5 linked regions of the Xenopus tropicalis genome follow. The protein of the gene in region 1 interacts with the protein of each later gene in a biochemical or structural test. Links are inferred from orthologs where the notes say so. Each region holds a gene or a part of one and is shown in the gene's direction. Other genes may lie near its edges.

What was found.
Region 2: the proteins of ube2a (region 1) and rnf20 form a complex in vitro, tested with the Homo sapiens proteins (4 studies listed by BioGRID, with this or other methods). The link is inferred for Xenopus tropicalis from reciprocal best matches to the Homo sapiens genes UBE2A and RNF20.
Region 3: the proteins of ube2a (region 1) and rad18 form a complex in vitro, tested with the Homo sapiens proteins (12 studies listed by BioGRID, with this or other methods). The link is inferred for Xenopus tropicalis from reciprocal best matches to the Homo sapiens genes UBE2A and RAD18.
Region 4: of the proteins of ube2a (region 1) and uba1, one has a biochemical effect on the other in vitro, tested with the Homo sapiens proteins (6 studies listed by BioGRID, with this or other methods). The link is inferred for Xenopus tropicalis from reciprocal best matches to the Homo sapiens genes UBE2A and UBA1.
Region 5: the proteins of ube2a (region 1) and rnf40 form a complex in vitro, tested with the Homo sapiens proteins (3 studies listed by BioGRID). The link is inferred for Xenopus tropicalis from reciprocal best matches to the Homo sapiens genes UBE2A and RNF40.

The regions. Positions count from the first base shown.
Region 1 is NC_030684.2:59,680,793-59,684,817, forward strand, and holds the start of ube2a (ubiquitin-conjugating enzyme E2 A), read left to right. Parts: upstream 1-1,222; 5' UTR 1,223-1,379; coding exon 1,380-1,423; intron 1,424-2,000; coding exon 2,001-2,081; intron 2,082-4,025. UniProt on the Homo sapiens protein: E2 ubiquitin-conjugating enzyme that accepts ubiquitin from the ubiquitin-activating enzyme E1 and transfers it to a E3 ubiquitin-protein ligase. In vitro catalyzes 'Lys-11', as well as 'Lys-48'-linked polyubiquitination.
Region 2 is NC_030683.2:57,238,130-57,241,643, forward strand, and holds part of rnf20 (E3 ubiquitin-protein ligase BRE1A), read left to right. Parts: intron 1-842; coding exon 843-987; intron 988-1,209; coding exon 1,210-1,395; intron 1,396-1,537; coding exon 1,538-1,656; intron 1,657-3,514. UniProt on the Homo sapiens protein: Component of the RNF20/40 E3 ubiquitin-protein ligase complex that mediates monoubiquitination of 'Lys-120' of histone H2B (H2BK120ub1).
Region 3 is NC_030680.2:131,548,918-131,553,091, reverse strand, and holds the start of rad18 (E3 ubiquitin-protein ligase RAD18), read left to right. Parts: upstream 1-1,361; 5' UTR 1,362-1,484; coding exon 1,485-1,538; intron 1,539-4,174. UniProt on the Homo sapiens protein: E3 ubiquitin-protein ligase involved in postreplication repair of UV-damaged DNA. Postreplication repair functions in gap-filling of a daughter strand on replication of damaged DNA.
Region 4 is NC_030684.2:525,608-529,575, forward strand, and holds the start of uba1 (ubiquitin-like modifier-activating enzyme 1), read left to right. Parts: upstream 1-1,165; 5' UTR 1,166-1,189; coding exon 1,190-1,303; intron 1,304-2,072; coding exon 2,073-2,131; intron 2,132-3,968. UniProt on the Homo sapiens protein: Catalyzes the first step in ubiquitin conjugation to mark cellular proteins for degradation through the ubiquitin-proteasome system.
Region 5 is NC_030685.2:13,689,760-13,693,273, reverse strand, and holds part of rnf40 (E3 ubiquitin-protein ligase BRE1B), read left to right. Parts: coding exon 1-120; intron 121-445; coding exon 446-801; intron 802-1,028; coding exon 1,029-1,146; intron 1,147-1,308; coding exon 1,309-1,458; intron 1,459-2,034; coding exon 2,035-2,247; intron 2,248-2,500; coding exon 2,501-2,626; intron 2,627-2,746; coding exon 2,747-2,887; intron 2,888-2,971; coding exon 2,972-3,073; intron 3,074-3,329; coding exon 3,330-3,506; 3' UTR 3,507-3,514.

The DNA.
Region 1 (4,025 bases):
GGCAGTGTCATTCTGTAGCTACTACAGCAAATAAAGTGCTGTCTTGTATAAAAAAGGGCATTGACTCAAGGGATGAGGACATATTTTTGCCGCTTTATAGGTCCCTGGTAAGGCCTCACCTTGAGTATGCGGTGCAGTTTTGGGCTCCAGTCCTTAAGAAGGATATTAATGAGCTGGAGAGAGTGCAGAGACGTGCAACTAAACTGGTAAAGGGGATGGAAGATTTAAGCTATGAGGTTAGACTGTCGAGGTTGGGGTTGTTTTCTCTGGAAAAGAGGCGCTTGCGAGGGGACATGATTACTCTGTACAAGTACATTAGAGGGGATTATAGGCAGTTGGGGGATGTTCTTTTTTCCCATAAAAACAATCAGCGCACCAGAGGTCACCCCTATAGATTAGAGGAACAGAGCTTCCATTTGAAGCAGCGTAGGTGGTTTTTCACGGTGAGAGCAGTGAGGCTGTGGAATGCCCTTCCTAGTGATGTGGTAATGGCAGACTCTGTTAATGCCTTTAAGAGGGGCCTGGATGAGTTTTTGAACAAGCAGAATATCCAAGGCTATTGTGATACTAATATCTACAGTTAGTATTACTGGTTGTATATATATAGTTTATGTATGTGAGTGTATAGATTGGTTAGTATAGGTTGTGTGCTGGGTTTACTCGGATGGGTTGAACTTGATGGACAATGGTCTTTTTTCAACCCTATGTAACTATGTAACTATGTAACTATGTAATGATTATTATACATACATATGAAAATAGTTCACATTACACATAAATATCTTACGCAACATAGGGAACAACCTAACTCTTAAGCACAAGTCATGACGTTCATCCCACCGTCAATCATAGGTTAGAGGCGTAACATGTGCAACGTCATCTTGTTGGAGCAGCTGTTAGACGACAACACTAACCTGGGCTATACCAAGTTCGCTGTAGGGGGTTTTGGAAACCACATCGCACAATCTAAAACTCGGCCTTTCAGGAAAAGCTCTGCTTATCGCTCATTTCTTGCATGCAAATTAAATTATATTTGTTTTACATTAACATTAGTTCATTTATCAGCGGAGACAGAGTTAGAGTTGGATTCCTCTATTATTACCCTACCCCAGAATGCAGCGACTTTGGCAAGTCTGAGGAAAAGGACTTGTTTTTCTTTCTCCGGCTGTGCGATCACATATCCCTCCGCCAGGGTCGGGAGCTCCCGGAAGAGCGCTGCCGGATCCTGCTGCCGGCCTTCCTAGATTATTGTTATTATTATTATATTGTTAGAGCCCAGCTACCGTCTCTTTTGGCATTAATATCGGCCACAATCGACAGCGATAAGGCCAAGCCCTTTTTAGTGTCTCTGTTTAATTTATTTCCGGTGACGGTGACAAATGTCAACCCCTGCTAGAAGGCGTCTGATGAGAGACTTTAAAAGGTAACCGGGGGAAGAAAACGGAGCTTGCCTATCGCAGGCTGTGTGGGTTTTGGCTGAGGATGGCTATTTTGCGGCCCTTTAACTATTGGTGAAGTGAAACTGCGTCCCCTGTAGTCGGGATTTGTAGTTGAGCAGCAGGAGGGCCACAGCTTGGAAAAATAGGTGCTTAGGTCACTTCCTTGGCGACATGTGTAGGAGGGGTAAGGTACAGGTAAGGGGCGCTTTGGGTTCCCAAACTGTGGGGCTCTGTCCCCTTACCCCCCCCCCCCCCTTCCTCTCTGGGGGTTCCTGAAGCAGTGGGGTACTTAGTATGAAGGCTAGTATGGGTGATATATGGGGAAAATGCTGATTTGGTCTCTTCACTACACCCAAGAGCTCAGTTTAAAGGTCAGGAAGATTTGAGATAAACATGTATTTGCTGTCCTAGATATTCTTGCAACTGTTTCTAAATGACTGATACATATGAACTAAGGGGGCCCTGACCAAAGGTTAGACCTACAAGAAAGGGGGGCACTTGAAATGAAAGTCAGACAATCACTAGGCTAACTTATCTATTTTTTGTTTTACTGGTTTCCAGGCTCCAAGAGGATCCTCCTGCTGGGGTGAGTGGAGCACCCTCTGAGAACAACATAATGGTGTGGAATGCAGTAATATTTGGGTAAGTTCACCCTGGTGGTCATCAAAGTCATCCTTCCCTTGTGTGATCCCTCCTATAATTTTTTGCTACTCAGTCTGGAAAATTATATTAGAGCATCTAAGAATTATAAGTTTCCATTCAGGAAAAATTGAATTTATTTATTTAGGGTGTAAAATACACACACAACCCTAACTGTTATTGGGTGAATCAATTTGGAAGGACCTAGGAGTATCTGTTTTGTGGAATGCAGTGTCTAATCACAGTAGAAATGGGCATAAGGATAAGGCCTTTTAACAAAAGCACAATAAGCAGAAGGGAGGAGAATACAAAGTCCTGGCGAGCCCCTTTTGTTTAGTACACAGTACATTTTTGATCTGCTATATGTTTTATTGAGGATACAGGCAAGTACAATTAAGTTGAAATGTCCAATAACAACAAGATCTGAAAACATTTGAGATACTATATATATATTTTTTTTTAAATAACTAATTCCTCCACCAAAAATGTAGCTGAATGCCAAACCAAAGCTGAGCGCTAATGAGTATTCCTGTACTGTAAAGGATACATATCATATAAAAATTAAGAATGTATGGCAGCTCTCGGTACACTGCATTGTAGGATAGGAACCAATCAGCAGCTAGGGTGACCTGATAGGGAACTGAAGCCTGTCTTTGCTTGTGTGAGCGCAAGGCTGTGATTGGCTATCCCCCTCCTAAGATGCTTCTGGCAGGAACTGTTAGGACACACCGACCCTTTATTTGAAACACGGACAGAGAACTGATAGGATCGATCAGGAGCTCCAATAAAGGGGCCTTTTTACTGATAGTGTTACTTTTTAGCCCAAAGTGAAACCAGCACCTTATTATATTAATAATTGCCTACAAAATTAGGGGTCTTTCCATTTATCCAATATGTCTCCTTTAAGGTTACATGACTTTTAGGGTTGAGATCTGGTTTGGCTTGACTCGTGATTTGGCAGGATCCTACATACATTTTTTTTATTTGGTTCATCCCAGCTTAAACCCATTCCATTCATCACATTACTGCTGTTAATACTCTGTATATGTTTGTTAGTGAACCCTGCTACAAACCCTTAACCTCTACTAGGGTGAGGATTTAGGCCTACTAGTTTTGGTGTATCTCATTGAGCAGATACACCCATTCCTTCTGTCATTGATGTCAGTGGAAGTTACCCACCAGGAACAGGGAATCTTTTTTTATTCATTTAAATAATATAAGGCTGGGAGGGTTGAATTGAGAAATACTATGTGTAACATGGGTTCTTTTCTGGTGTTTCAGTTCCATGCAGCTACCCTGTGTGTGCAGTGATGGGGTTAGGGAATTTAAGTCAATGCTGCATATGTGATTTAAAGCAGCATAAACAAAACCACATACATACTGTGATAATGGCTTAAGCCTTAGAAAAAGTTAGTGCGCTGTACTGCAGAGATCATGTTTATCATGTACTCTGGTGATAAACCTCAAAAATAGGACTCGTATAGAACCATTAGAATTTGAGTGCATGTAAAAAAAAAAAGCAGAAATTCATTCAGCTGCAGTACCCTCTAAAGGTTGCTACAGGCTAAAAGGTGAAATAGGGCCGCTAATAGCATTGGATTGGCAACACTTTTTTTTTTTATCTCAACATTATTTGTGTTTCAGTGCTGCTCTCCGTCATTTAAAGATTGCCAGTCCTGCAATAGAGCAGTAAGGCAATGTTGGCAGGGTAATTTTATAACATTAAGTGATCTTATTCTGACACGATCCAGCAAGTTATCCTAGTAGCAACTGCTTGTGCCCTAGGACACCTAGGCATTGTTTTAAATATAATTTTCAGTTCAACTTCAGTTGGTCTGTCTGCTCACATTTAAAATTACATAAAAAGTGTTTGCAAGACCTCAGAGCATCATGGACAGTGCATATGTAAACAGCTTGACTGGGTGTGTTTCCACTCACTGCATTGCT
Region 2 (3,514 bases), on another chromosome or scaffold:
AGATTCTGACTATATAAATAAATATGTAATAATAATATATTAATCACCCCTCTTACTAGGGTTACGCTTCTTTTGAGAAGCAGACAAATAATCCACACCAATAAGTGTATATAAAATGAATTTATTGAATAACAAATCAATTGACTGTTAAAATTAAGTGATTATTTAAAACAAAACAATATATTTACATTAGTTACAGATTAATAATGAAGTCTACCTTATTATAGCTACCCACAAACACAGAACATGATGGTCTGGTTCCTTTTCTCTAGCCAGTTGATCATGGCTTCCCTCTGGTCTGCAGCCCTCACATTCTGCCCTGATCACTTCAGATGCTGTGTGTAGATGCTCTCCCCAGTTGCTTCTCTTTGACTACTGTCCAGTCCACATTACTCAGTGTATAACACATAAATATTTATAAAGCCACAAACACATATGTATAGAAGAGGCATTCCAAATATAGAGGAGAGCACCATAAAGCAGAATTCTGCTAAAATGCTATTTATTTCAGACCAAAAAACACAACATGTTTCGGGCAGTGTGACGCCCTTTATCAAGTGTGTCACACTGCCCGAAACATGTTGTGTTTTTTTGTCTGAAATAAATAGCATTTTAGCAGAATTCTGCTTTATGGTGCTCTCCTCTATATTTGGATTGTATTGAATGGCTCAGCGGTGTGCCTTGCGAGGATTGATGCATCAAGCCTGATCTAAGGGCTGTGCGGTTGAATACCTATTTGTTGATGTATAGAAGAGGCATGTTGAAATGGCCACATTTTCATTTTTTCTGCTTATGCCCTAAATTTCTTTTATTTTTCATTCATTTAAAATCTTTTATTGCAGTTTGATGAAAATATTGGCATTTTTTTGGGTCGTTATGACTTGGATCAAGACTTGGGGGAGTTTCTGACAGAACGCAAAGCATTGGTTCTGCCAGAGCCAGAGCCAGATTCTGACAGCAATCCAGAACGCAAAGAAAATGAAAGGGGTAAGCAGTAGGGAGGGATAGTGGTGAACAAGAACACCATTTATTTTCTCAAAAAGATGATGTTTATAACAATAAATATCCACTAAGTAAATCAGTTTTCAGTGGAAATAAAAAACTGAGGAAACTTTTTAGATTTTGTAACATAAAATGGGTTTTTATTTCTTTTGTATTGAACCTTTAAACTAAAATCCAAACAATCTCTGACTGGTTAACTCATTGTAGGCGAAGGACTATGGGAAGCTCCTCTTTCCTTTTTGGCCACTCTGGCCAGCAGCAGCAGTGAAGAAATTGAATCTCAGCTACAAGAACGTGTAGAATCTTCACGACGTGCAGTCTCTCGTATTGTTTTGGTGTATGACCGACTGCATGACCAACTGGACCATCTTGCCAAGAAACTGAATAGCACTGGTGGGAAGCAGTCTTTCAATTTTATGATTTTTGTTCCATTTTATTCTTTTTGAGTTTTATTTTTCTTGGGCTTTAATTTTGTTATTACCACACTGAAGAACTTTTACATCTCTATTCCTGTATCTTCCGACTCTCTCTATAGATCCATCTCACGTGGAAGAGGCTGTCAGGGATTTAAACTCCTTGCTCTCAAATGAGAATGCACGATTGCAGGAGATTTGTAACTTGCTACAAGAGAAACAGCAGAATATGTCCCAAGAGGTCAGTGGGTTTTTTTGTAACCGGTTAATGAAAATAATGTTAAATATATAAGTTTTTGTTTATACAATGTTAAATATAGACATTTTTTGTAATTTTGAGAAAACATGTCATACATTTTAATAATATGTTTTGCACATAAGTAGATAACTAACTGGAGAGTCTATTAGGTTTGATGTTTCTGTAGACTTAAGGTATGGAGACCTAAATTACAGAAAGGTATGGTTTTCACAAGTCCTGGGAGTGCGATTCTGTTTCTACATACATATATATACATATATATATATATATATATATATATATATATATATATATATATATATATCTTTCAAGAAGCCGGCACTCACGTTTAAAGGTCACTGGATGCCCGGGTGCAGTATTATAAATTCCAGATGTATACCAAGCAAAAGATACCGCACTCACAGGACTTACTTGAGAAAAAGGTGATTTAATATTCACAACATAGCACGGACGTTTCGGCTGTCTCTTTGAAAAAGGCTGTGGAGACAGCCGAAACGTCAGTGCTATGTTGTGAATATTAAATCACCTTTTTCTCAAGTAAGTCCTGTGAGTGCGGTATCTTTTGCTTGGTATATATATATCAAAATGTCAACATTTCATTCTTCTTGTGAGCCCCAAGACACACAAACAGAATTTACCCCTCCACCCAAACTTAAATACCCTAGTGTAGAGAAATCGTGCCAGAATAGCATGTGTGAAATAATCAGAGTGAATGCAGTCTGTATCCAACATTTAGAAGTGAACAACATTGTATACTCAATTTTTTGAGGAGTGCCACATCCTCCCCCATTATTGTAACTTGGTCAGGGAACCTAAGTCTGTCAGACCCTCTCAGAACTACTTCCACCCGGAGCACACTCATAAAAACTAAGGTGTGTTGTCATGGAAGCGCACGTATGTTAAGCCGGCATTCACATAGCAGTGCAGGAAGGATTGTTGAAGTGTGTTGTCATAGAGAATATTTCACAATCCTTACAAATTGTAAATAATGTTCAAAAGTTGATGTGGTGTTCAAATCTGTAAGCCCTGGAGCCCAATGCATAGTAACAACATCGAACTGTTACAGATGGCACTCAAAATTCAGCAATTGCGCTAAATAACTTTTTTGTTTATCGAGATCTCTGCACACAACATTTCGGGGGATGCCCCTCCTTCCTCAGAAATGCATACCTGCTTTTGTGATTAGCACTACCCTCTGCAACAGTAGCAGTACAAAGCTGCAAGTACTTAAGCAGTAAGAAAGCGGGGGCATAGCAAGTAGCAACCAAATGGGTCTATTGGTTGGCACGGTCAGGTTCACCGGACCCGGCACTAGTACTACCCAGTTATATGATTGGCACAAACAGATCATTAGATTCTGACACAATTAGATGTCATGTAACATCAGGAGAACATATCTGGGGTAAATCTGTTGCAGCCACTAAAGGTAGATGGTAGTAGTGAGTTCATGTGCATCTGAGCAGCTATATGTGGACAATGACATTATTATGGTCCCCTGTCTGGACTTAAGTAATCATATAGCTGAGAGCACAATATTGACACAATTATATTGCCAGAGAGTCAAGTTTATATGTCCATTTGCGTTCTTTCTGAAGTTGAAAGACAAAAAGGGCTAGAAAAGGAAGGCAGACAACCAATTGCAAAGTTAGTAGAATAGGACAGTCTATAACATACCAAAAGTTAACTCCAAGGTAAACCATCCCTTTAAAAAACTCAGTAGGGGGTGCTGTCTGGTCAGAATTTAAGGCTTTCCCGCAGATATTAATCCAAGATTGTGAGGAATCACAATATATAAACTTTTAAATTCTAGTTTAGTTGAAAACGCGAGATAATGCAGAGT
Region 3 (4,174 bases), on another chromosome or scaffold:
AACACTGCCTGAAATTAAGAGGTGGGAAAGCAGAGAGTCGTGAGCTACAAGCGAACCAATTGGATGCCATATAAACCCAAGGGGGTCTGTAAGTAGATTGGCAATCGGAAAGGGATATCACAACTGGGCACAAAAGGGTGATATAAGTAAAAGTCATCACTGGTGTTAAAAAGCACACGAGAGTGCACATTGTGAAGTAATAACAGTATTACACTATATATATTTTTTTTCTCTTTTTTCTTTTCCTCATAAGACCTCATCACTAAGTCTAAAGCAGAAGAGGGCACTTTGGAGTAATCTATTGGACTTTATTTTGACCTGGGACACGAGGTATCTGAAGTGAGGAGCATACACTCAAAATTGCATTTATTTATATTTGTAAAAGAGCATGAAGTTAACTACTGCATACCCCCCAACTGTCCCGCTTTTCGCGGGACAGTCCCGCTTTTTATGGCGCATCCCGCTGTCCCGAATAGTTCCATGAATGTCCCGCATTGCTCCTTCTGCGGCTTCGTTATGCCTCTCCTTGTGCAGCGCGACAGGCCCTTTTATAAGGTTGCGCCTGTGGGTGTGACGTCATTACGCACGGGGCGCAACCTTATAAAAGGGCCTGTCGCGCTGCACAAGGAGAAGCATAACGAAGCCGCAGACGAAGGCTGCGCCTATGGGAGGTACTGTGAATGGGGGGCTACTGTGATAAGGGGACACTGTGTATTGGGGGTACTGTGTATTAGGGGCTACTGTTTATAGGGGCACTGTGTATTGGGGGTTACTGTGTATAGGGGGCTACTGTGTATAGGGGGCTACTTTGTATAGGGGGCACTGTGTATGGGGGCACTGTGTATGGGAGACTACTGTGTATTGGGGGGTACTGTGTATGGGGGGCTACTGTGTATGGGGGGGCTACTGTGTATGGGGGTACTGTGTATGGGGGGGCAAAACTGGTACTTAGTTATAACTCACTTATAACTGACTGCCTTCTCTCTATACTTGTATTTTAATGTAGGAGTTGCTATATTGTTTTCCTTAGGTCGTTCAGTATGAGGGTATAGCACATTTTCGTCTGCGCCCGCCATTTGATCTATATAAAAGGGGTATTTTTTTAAAATGGAGTGTGGTAATTGGGGCGTGGCCACAAAAGGGGGCGTGATCAAAAAATTGCCTTGCTGCGCGCGCCAAATCTTTTTGTCCCTCTTTTCATTTTTCAAATGTTGGGAGGCATGCTACTGCTGTATCACATCGTATATTTCTTTGGATTTGGGGGACCTTTAAAAATGTTAAGATTTTATTGCAGGACACAGGGCGAATTCGCCTGCTTTAAGCCCATCCACACACCGCTTTGGCATATACCTTAGTGCTGTAGTTCCTCCTACAACTAGCTTGAACTACCTTTCCCGACATGCTTTGCGCACGATCACGTGACGTTGAGAGCAGCGCGGGAAATTTGGGGTAGCTCGGGTTTGGGTCGCTGTAATTCGGCTTCCATGGCAACCACACCAGAACCGGGATCTAAGGCAAAGGGCAAACAACCCGTGCAGGTAAGGTACTAGTGGCCAGTGCCGCGTACTGATAGGGTTTGTCAGTCATTGTGCCTCACAGGAAGTCCCGCCTGCCTGCACTCAGCGGCTTCTGTACAGCTGCCCTGGCTGCAGCATGTATATATACTGTACTGTGTAACCCTGAGTTATTATATGTATTGTATATACGAACTAGGAGTGCAGAGAATGCACACAGATATTGCTTTTAAAACCAATCACAAATAACTCTAAAGCCAATTGGATGGAGGTGTATTGGAAAGTTGTATACAATCTGGAGTGGAGTTTCCCTTTAGCAACAGTTGTCAGGCAGCAGTGTGGCATCCCTAATGTATTTGCACTTGTCCCCTTCAATGCCCCCCACTTCCTTCCCTCTGGCACAGTGATTTATATGGCCGCCCAGCTGCTACACAACATGTTTATGTTTCCTGGGGGGGGGGGAGTCATTGTTGGGAGGCGCAGATTTATTATTTCTGTAGCTCCATTTGGCCTCCTAGTGCAAGGCAACTGCAAATCACAGTAGGAAAGGGGACATAAACCGATAAATACAATCATGCCTAAGGAAAGAAAGAAAATTCGAAGCAACTTTGCGATATATTGCTTAAAGGGAAACGAAAGGCAAAATCACTTGGGGGTGCCAAAATGTTAGGCACCCCCAAGTGACTTTAACTGCTTACCTCATACCCCGGGCTGGTGCCCCTGTTAGGAGAAAACAGCACCAGCCCGGGGCACCTGTAGCTCATCGCTTCCTTCTTCCGGCTTCCGGCTTCCGTTGCTGGAATGCCAGCGGTGGGCGCATGCGCAGTAGAGTGAAAAGCCGTTAAGGGTTAAGTTCGGCTTTTTACTCTACTGCGCATGCGCGCGCAGCGAATCAGGAAGAAGCAAGCGCCGGCAGCTACCCCGGGCTGGTGCTGTTCTCTTCTCACAGGGGCACCAGGTAGGTGGTCAAAGTCACTTGGGGGTGCCTAACATTTTGGCACCCCCAAGTGACTTTGACTTTCTTTTTCCTTTAAAGGAACAGTAACACCAAAAAATGAAAGAGCTTTCAAGTAATAAAAATATAATGCACTGTTGCCCTGCACTGGTAAAACTGGGGTGTTTGCTACAGTAACACTACTATAGTTTATATAATAAGCTGCTGTGTAGCCACGGGGGCAGCCATTCAAGCTGGAAAAAAGGAGAAAAGGCACAGGCACATAGCAGATAACAGATAAGCTCTGTAGGATACAATAGTTTTATCTGTTATCTGCTATGTGCCTGTACCTTTTCTCCTTTGAATGGCTGCCCCCATGGCTACATAGCAGCTTATTTATATAAATTATAGTAGACTTTCTGAGGTAAACACACAACTTTTACCAGTGCAGGGCAGCAGCACATTATATTTTAGTTACTTTTATACACTTTCATTTTTTGGTGTTACTGTTCCTTTAACATTGTACGCAGTGTCGGTCTGTCCTGTTCTGAGTTTTTGATTCTCACATTAAACAATGTAACAGAATTTGGCTCTACCACAGTCAAGGCCTATTAAAGGGCACCTGTCACAAACATTTTGTTTCCCCCACCAGAGATGAATGCTAACAGAGCCCACATCTAGATGAGGAAAACGGTAGTATTTTTTGAAGGATAGTTCCCCCACTGTGGTGCTGTCAAGCCATGCTGGAGTGCAGCAAACAACATATTGAGCGAGTTTCCTGGCTTACTAAATATGTGCTTGGCTATGATTTTTGATCAGTCGACATGAATATTGTCTAGGCCTGGGCACTCTGCCCGTGTGTACACTATGCCCGTGTGTGCCTTAGTATGGCCTCCTGCACCGAAAATTGGTTCCTGGTGCAGGGAACGCTGCACTTAGATGCTTCTCCCTATGCATTCATGGAATGCTCAATATGCTTGTTGTACAATGCAGTGTTAAAGACAAGAGTGAACCAGGAAACTTGCTGATTGTGAAAGTTGCTCATTTTGTGCTTTGGTGTACCCTTGCCTTGCCAACTGCACTGGTAGTGGGCTCCAGGGCACAGCATTCCATGGGGGGCAAGTTCTTTAAACAGTTCTTATTTACTGTTTTGTTTTCCCACCTTGTCCACCTTTAATTATGACACCTCTGGTTTGCAGGAACAGCAATCCCAGTTTAATGGTGCTAGCAGATTGGGTAACTGGTCCGGGTGGGGTTTCAAAAATTTGAACTGTGCAGTAATGCAGGTTTTGTTGGCCTGCACCTCTGGTGGGATAAACATTTTAGTAATAGGTTGATTGGCTGGATTCTCTTACATTGTAAATGGGATTTATACTTGACAGCAGCAATGTAAAGAAATGCATCCTGGTGTTATACAGGTGGCAATTCTTTTCCATGGAGTAGTCAACAGAAATGGATCTTGGACTCAAAGGATCTAGTGTTTTCCAAGGCACTCGCTGCTTAACATAATGGTGCTGGCCATGAGCCAGTAAAGCAAATTGGGTGAAATTAAAGCTGGCAATACATTTACAGATCAAATCTTCATATGATTTTCTGTTTATGTATGGAGGCCTGCGAATCAGTTTTGGGATTGGGCAGGTGTGAAAATAAAAAAAAAAATTAAGAATAGCTGCCAGTCTTCCAATAAAAATAATATCTTTATTTGCTCAACTTAAAAATCTCACTG
Region 4 (3,968 bases), about 59 Mb from region 1:
CTGGTTACATTGTACCATTGAGTTGAGTTGTTGGGGGCAGAAACGTGGAAATAAAGACCAATTGCATTGGGGGTCACCCTGTTTGATTGCTCGCTCTGCTGCCACGGGGGGTTTAGCTGTGCGGCGAGGGTGGCACAAATAGTATAGGGGTGTTATTATATTGGGCTGCGTGGGGATGAGTTGGGCGCCTGTGAGTGTCACTGTGTGAGTACAGCTGCTACTGCTAGAGAGGCCTGTGTAAAGCCGCTTTGCCCCATGTTGGGGGGGGGGGGGTACAGTATGCTGGGTAGGTTATGCCAGGCTTCATACGGGGCAAACGCCAAATGGTGGGGCCCCAAACCCTTCCTGGGCCCCAGAGATACCGTAGAATTTCCTGCAGTCTCACTGCTGTGCCTGCCCCCGTCTCCCTGCCGTTGTACCTTCTCTCACCCCCAGGTGGGGCAATACCTGCAGCATGGCAGCTTTGTAATGCCCAACAGGAGCTGCTTGTTCTGCCCAAGAGCTGACATTCTATAATATTCATTATAGAGTTACAGAAATTGTTGTATTTGCTCTGTGTTTGCGCACACTGCTTGCTCGTCCCTCGTGCCCCGCCCCTGCTTGCTCGTCCCTCGTGCCCCGCCCCTGCTTGCTCGTCCCTCGTGCCCCGCCCCTGCTTGCTCGTCCCTCGTGCCCCGCCCCTGCTTGCTCGTCCCTCGTGCCCCGCCCCTGCTTGCTCGTCCCTCGTGCCCGCCCCTGCTTGCTCGTCCCTCGTGCCCCGTCCCTGCTTGCTCGTCCCTCGTGCCCCGCCCCTGCTTGCTCGTCCCTCGTGCCCCCCCCTGCTTGCTCGTCCTGGTGCCCCGCCCTGCTTGCTCGTCCCTGGTGCCCCCCTTCGCCGGCCCCCCCTGCTTGCTCGTCCCTGGTGCCCCGCCCCTGCTTGCTCGTCCTGTGCCCCGCCCCTGCTTGCTCGTCCCTGGTGCCCCGCCCCTGCTTGCTCCGTCCCTGGTGCCCCGCACCCTGCTTGCTCGTCCCTGGTGCCCCGCCCCTGCTTGCTCGTCCCTGGTGCCCCGCCCCTGCTTGCTCGTCCCTGGTGCCCCCCCCCTGCTTGCTCGTGCCCCGCCCCTGCTTGCTCGTCCCTCGTGCCCCGCCCCTGCTACGGTACCAGCCCTGTACAACCGCATACACTGACCTGATCTTTTCTCCCGGTTAGATGTCCAGCTCGCCGCTGTCCAAGAAGCGTCGCGTGTCCGGATCTGAGACAAAGACGGGTTCAAACTGCTCATCCTCCAACTCCGTGAGCACCGATCAGACTGCGCCGGCCAACGTGAGTGCCCCCCGGGCTGTGCCGCCATATTCTAACCCCTTTCTACTTTGCTCAGAGTCAACCTGTACCCTTGGCTTTCTAGCTGGGGGCCAGTAGTAATGTGGCCCCGAGATTAACCCAATGGGCTTATTGCAGGGGAGGGCTCTAGTGTGGCCCCGAGATTAACCCAATGGATTTATTGCAGGGGAGGGCTCTAATGTGGCCCCCAGATTAACCCAATGGATTTATTGCAGGGGAGGGCTCTAATGTGGCCCCCAGATTAACCCAATGGATTTATTGCAGGGGAGGGCTCTAATGTGGCCCCGAGATTAACCCAATGGATTTATTGCAGGGGAGGGCTCTAATGTGGCCCCCAGATTAACCCAATGGATTTATTGCAGGGGAGGGCTCTATGTGGCCCCCAGATTAACCAATGGATTTATTGCAGGGGAGGGCTCTAATGTGGCCCCCAGATTAACCCAATGGATTTATTGCAGGGGAGGGCTCTAATGTGGCCCCCAGATTAACCCAATGGATTTATTGCAGGGGAGGGCTCTAATGTGGCCCCCAGATTAACCCAATGGATTATTGCAGGGGAGGGCTCTAATGTGGCCCCCAGATTAACCCAATGGATTTATTGCAGGGGAGGGCTCTAATGTGGCCCCCAGATTAACCCAATGGATTTATTGCAGGGGAGGGCTCTAATGTGGCCCCCAGATTAACCCAATGGATTTATTGCAGGGGAGGGCTCTAATGTGGCCCCCAGATTAACCCAATGGATTTATTGCAGGGGATGGCTCGGAACGGGAATTCTGCTGAGATAGACGAGGGTCTCTACTCGAGGCAGCTGTAAGTATAAGACCCTCCCTGGCTGCATGTTATTCGGGGGGGCTTTCTTCCTATTGGCTGCAGGGTTTGGCTCCTCGACTGTTGCTGGGGGCCCCTCTGCTGTGTGGAACCAAGGCCTGGGGACTTTTTTCTCTCTGGGAGGTTAAACTGCCCAGTAGCTTTAACCCTTTTCAGTCTGTGTAACTTCAGTGACCTTTGACCTCCCCAGACCCCTGTATTGTTCAGCATGGCCAGGTGACTGCTGTCGGCCAATCCCGTGAGACTCACATGCAGCCCTAATATAATTGCTTGTTGGAGAAGCAACAGATCAGCGGATTTTGTGCTGACAACTCTTCCGGGTCTCCTTGGCCTTTATGGCCATGTGACTGCAGCCTTTGAGTGGGCCAATCAGAATGGGCAGCTGTACAGATGTGTGCCTTCTGGTATAGATTGGCAGCTTTCCCTATACACAGTTACTGTTTTGTGCATCCCAGGTCCTCCCCCCCCCCCCCCCCGTGTCTTTGTGGGGTCCCCCCCTCACTCCATGAACAACTATGTTGGGCCCCCAGTAAACCTGGCAGCCGGGGGGGTGTCTAATGGCTTAGCTAGAACTGAGAACGCTTGGTGGGAGGGGCTGGAGGGCTAGTGGCTTAGCTAGAACTGGGAACGCTTGGTGGGAGGGGCTGGAGGGCCAGTAGGGCTAATGGCTTAGATAGAACTGGGAATGCTTGGGGGGAGGGGCTGGAGGGCCAGTAGGGCTAATGGCTTAGATAGAACTGGGAACGCTTGGTGGGAGGGCCAGTAGGGCTAATGGCTTAGATAGAACTGGGAGGGGCTGGAGGGCCAGTAGGGCTAATGGCTTAGATAGAACTGGGAACGCTTGGTGGGAGGGGCTGGAGGGCCAGTAGGGCTAATGGCTTAGATAGAACTGGGAATGCTTGGTGGGAGGGGCTGGAGGGCCAGTAGGGCTAATGGTTTTAGATAGAACTGGGAGGGGCTGGAGGGCCAGTAGGGCTAATGGCTTAGATAGAACTGGGAACGCTTGGTGGGAGGGGCTGGAGGGCCAGTAGGGCTAATGGCTTAGATAGAACTGGGAACGCTTAGTGGGAGGGCCAGTAGGGCTAATGGCTTAGAACTGGGAGGGGCTGGAGGGCCAGCAGGGCTAATGGCTTAGATAGAACTGGGAACGCTTGGTGGGAGGTGCTGGAGGGCCAGTAGGGCTAATGGCTTAGATAGAACTGGGAATGCTTGGTGGGAGGGGCTGGAGGGCCAGTAGGGCTAATGGCTTAGATAGAACTGGGAACGCTTGGTGGGAGGGGCTGGAGGGCCAGTAGGGCTAATGGCTTAGATAGAACTGGGAATGCTTGGTGGGAGGGGCTGGAGGGCCAGTAGGGCTAATGGCTTAGATAGAACTGGGAATGCTTGGGGGGAGGGACTGGAGGGCCAGCAGGGCTAATGGCTTAGATAGAGCTGGGAATGCTTGGGGGGGAGGGACTGGAGGGCCAGCAGGGCTAATGGCTTAGATAGAACTGGGAATGCTTGGGGGGAGGGACTGGAGGGCCAGCAGGGCTAATGGCTTAGATAGAACTGGGAATGCTTGGTGGGAGGGGCTGGAGGGCCAGTAGGGCTAATGGCTTAGATAGAACTGGGAATGCTTGGTGGGAGGGGCTGGAGGGCCAGTAGGGCTAATGGCTTAGATAGAACTGGGAATGCTTGGGGGGAGGGACTGGAGGGCCAGCAGGGCTAATGGCTTAGATAGAGCTGGGAATGCTTGGGGGGAGGGACTGGAGGGCCAGCAGGGCTAATGGCTTAGATAGAGATGGGAATGCTTGGGGGGAGGGACTGGAGGGCCAGCAGG
Region 5 (3,514 bases), on another chromosome or scaffold:
CCTATTAATAGGGAGATGCGGCATCTCATTGGAAGCCTCCAAAACCACAACCACCAACTGAAGGGAGATGTGCAAAGATACAAGCGCAAGGTGCGAGATTCCCAGGCAGAGGTGAGCAAGGTGAGAGGGGCTTCCCCAGAGTGACCTATTGCAGCTGGCATGAATGGAAACTGCCCGGGGCCTAGAACCTGTTCCGCTGTTTGATACTGGAATGGGCACGTGCTGAAAAAATGGCTATAAAGCAACAGTTTTATTTCAAGGGTTTGTCTAGGGAACCAAGATCAGCTTGAGAGCTGAACATTCCACAGATATAAGTTTGCGTTTTCAGATCATGGGAAAGTGAGTCCCTGACTGTATTATTACAGCAACCTTTCTTCTTTTATACTTTGTAACTGATGATTTGCCCCTCTTATGGTTCCCGCTTTATCGCCCCTTGCTTTCCCAGCTGCGTTTTCAAATCGGCGGACCACCCTGTCCTCAGCCTGGATCTTCAGGATCGGAACCAACGACCCCCGTTACTGTCAAAGAGGAAGAAGTAGAAGTGAAGAAAGAACCCCTTGCAGTCGTGCCACGAGAGCCTGAGACTCCCACTACCCCTGAAGTAAAAAAGGAGGAGGAAGAGCAAAAGAAAGAGGCAGCAGAGCGGACCAAAGCCCGGGAGAGGGAGGCGGAACGGGAGCGAGACAAAGATCGGGAAAGAGACAAGGAAAAGGAAAGGGAGCGTGAGAAAGACAAGCAGAAAACAGATGAGAGCAAAAGGAAAGACTGCGACATTCTGAAACAGCTCCGGGCAGAGCTCAAGTAAGAGAACTTTTCCTTCCCAGTTATTGCACATTGCCGATTCCCCCCGCCAACTGCTGCCTGCTTTCCATTCAGTCCTTCCCATTGGATTATTCACATAATCAGTTGTCTGCTTCCCTGCTTCTGTTTATAAACTGTTGCAATCCAACCAGCCAAATTTATCAACCCTTTACATTTAACACACTGCCTCCCACCCCATTCACATGACTGTTCATGTTCCTTTTCAGGAAGGCCCAGGAGAGCCAGAAAGAGATGAAGCTGCTGCTCGATATGTACAAATCTGCCCCCAAAGAGCAGAGAGACAAGGTGCAGCTGATGGCAGCGGAGAGAAAGACCAAGGCCGAGGTGCGTCTCTCTGACCTACAAATACATGCGTGGCTGATGGTTGCACTGTTGGTTATCTACGTGTTTCTGATTGGTGCAGGTTCTTGCATTCTGATTGTGTACATGTATTATAGAAGGGATTATATCATGCACTCTGTGCCTGTTTCTGCCTTTCTATTGCAGATGGAGGAGCAGCGCACGCGGGTGCAAGCTCTTGAGGAGAAAGACAAGAGGGAGAGGAAGAAACTTGCAGATGAAGAAGCACTGAGGAAAATTAAGATGGCTGAGGAACAAATAGACCATTTACAGAGGAAACTGACTGCCACCAAACAGGTAAGAGACAAAGGGGCTGTTTAGGAAATACAGACAACTTAGCAGACTCAGGAACACTGGGGGTAAAAGGCTGCTCCCACTAGGAGTAAAGACACATAGTAATTGTGTCACAATTTAACTCTGCTTTGCTATTTTAATGTGTTTCATACAGCAAGGAAGTGTAAGGATAAGCACAAGGGATACTTCCAGGCAGCCACGGACAACAGGGCCAAGACCTAAGTCTGCCCACCTTGGGGCTCATTTATCAGTACTGGGTAAATTTGCCTATGGACTTTAACCCATAGGGACATTTATGTGAATGACTTTTTTTTTAGCCAGCTACAGAAAAAACAATAAATACAACAGTTTGGTTGCCATGGGTTACTGCCCACAGGCAGATTTGCCTATCGTTGATGAATGAGCCCCTTTGTGTTAGTCCCACAGTGCTGGATTCCTGCTCCTAAGCGCCAAAGGGCTCTTGATGCTGTCTAAACAGAGCAATTAACTCCACCCTGGCCCTGTTCCCTATGTCATTTGGCCTATGGAATTCCTGGTAGAAATAAATATTAACCCTGCCTATTTCATTTCTAAACGCAGGAGGAGGAGGCCTTACTGTCAGAGATGGACGTGACGGGCCAGGCGTTTGAGGACATGCAAGAACAGAATATTCGTCTGATGCAGCAGCTCCGTGAGAAGGACGACGCCAACTTCAAACTGATGTCCGAGAGGATCAAATCCAACCAGATACACAAACTCCTGAGGGAAGAGAAGGAGGAGCTGGCTGAGCAAGTGCAAGGGCTGAAAGCCCAGGTAGGTACTTGCTACATGCAAAATGGGTCAAGAAAGGAACCAATACTTTCTGTATTTGGGTTTTGCTGTCAGTGGGGGTCTGTGGTACTTTTCCCATTTCTTTGTTCTCTATGGGTCATTTAAAGTGGGTTAATGGATCTTTGGCCACTAGAGGGAGCCTTTTGCCATACTGTTCACTTTACATCGCTACTGCTTGGTGCCAAAAGGTGTGTGTTATTATTATTATGTAACACTGTTGCTGTGTGTGTCTCAGGTGGATGCTCAGCTGTTACAGGTACAGAAACTGGAGGAGAGAGAGCGCCTCTTACACACGTCTTTGACTTCCATTGAGAAGGAAGTCACTCTTAGAACACAGTCACTGGAACTGAACAAGAGGAAGGTAAGCGACCTGAATTATAATTTATAATTATGCTCATTGCTGATGCTTCTGATTCCTCTGCTAAACAAGAGCTCATCGTATTGCGCCATTATAACTATATACATTTATGTTGCTTTCTAGGCAGTCGAGGCAGCCCAGCTCGCCGAAGACCTGAAAGTGCAAATGGAGCATGTAGGGGAAACGCTTAGGGATACCCAGAACTTTGTATGTGAGAACCGAAGCGCTAAAGAAAAGGAGTCCTTTAGTCTCAAAAGAGCTCAGGTAAGAAGCTTGACCCACAGAGAGTGCCTTATTATCCGGCCCATTGGGTGTGTTTCACTTATTCAGGGGTTTGTGCCTTTACAGGAGGATGTATCTCGGCTGCGAAGGAAACTGGAAAAGCAGAAGAAGATGGAGGTTTATGCAGATGCTGACCAAATCCTACAGGAAGAGATTAAAGAGTACAGGGTAAGTAAGGGGCAGTGGGTCGGGCAGGGCACTTAAGACTATTTATTAGTTGCTTTGAGAACATCAAGTTGGAATAAAATCCGCAAAGAGCGAATGGCCCTGGGTTTGTAATGGCTCCGGGTCAGCTCTACAGACAGGAAGAGGCTATAGCAATAATGTGGTGGTTAGAAAGAAATGCTTTGCAATGTGTTCTGGGTACTGACACTTTCTCCTTCTCTCCCTTCCTCTGTACTTCCCACCCCTTCGGCACTTCCAGGCCCGACTCACTTGCCCTTGCTGTAACACTCGGAAAAAGGACGCCGTCCTCACCAAGTGCTTTCACGTCTTCTGCTTCGAGTGCGTGAAGACCCGATACGAGTCCCGGCAGCGCAAGTGCCCCAAGTGCAACGCAGCCTTCGGAGCCCACGACTTTCACCGGATTTACATCAATTAAGGGGCGAC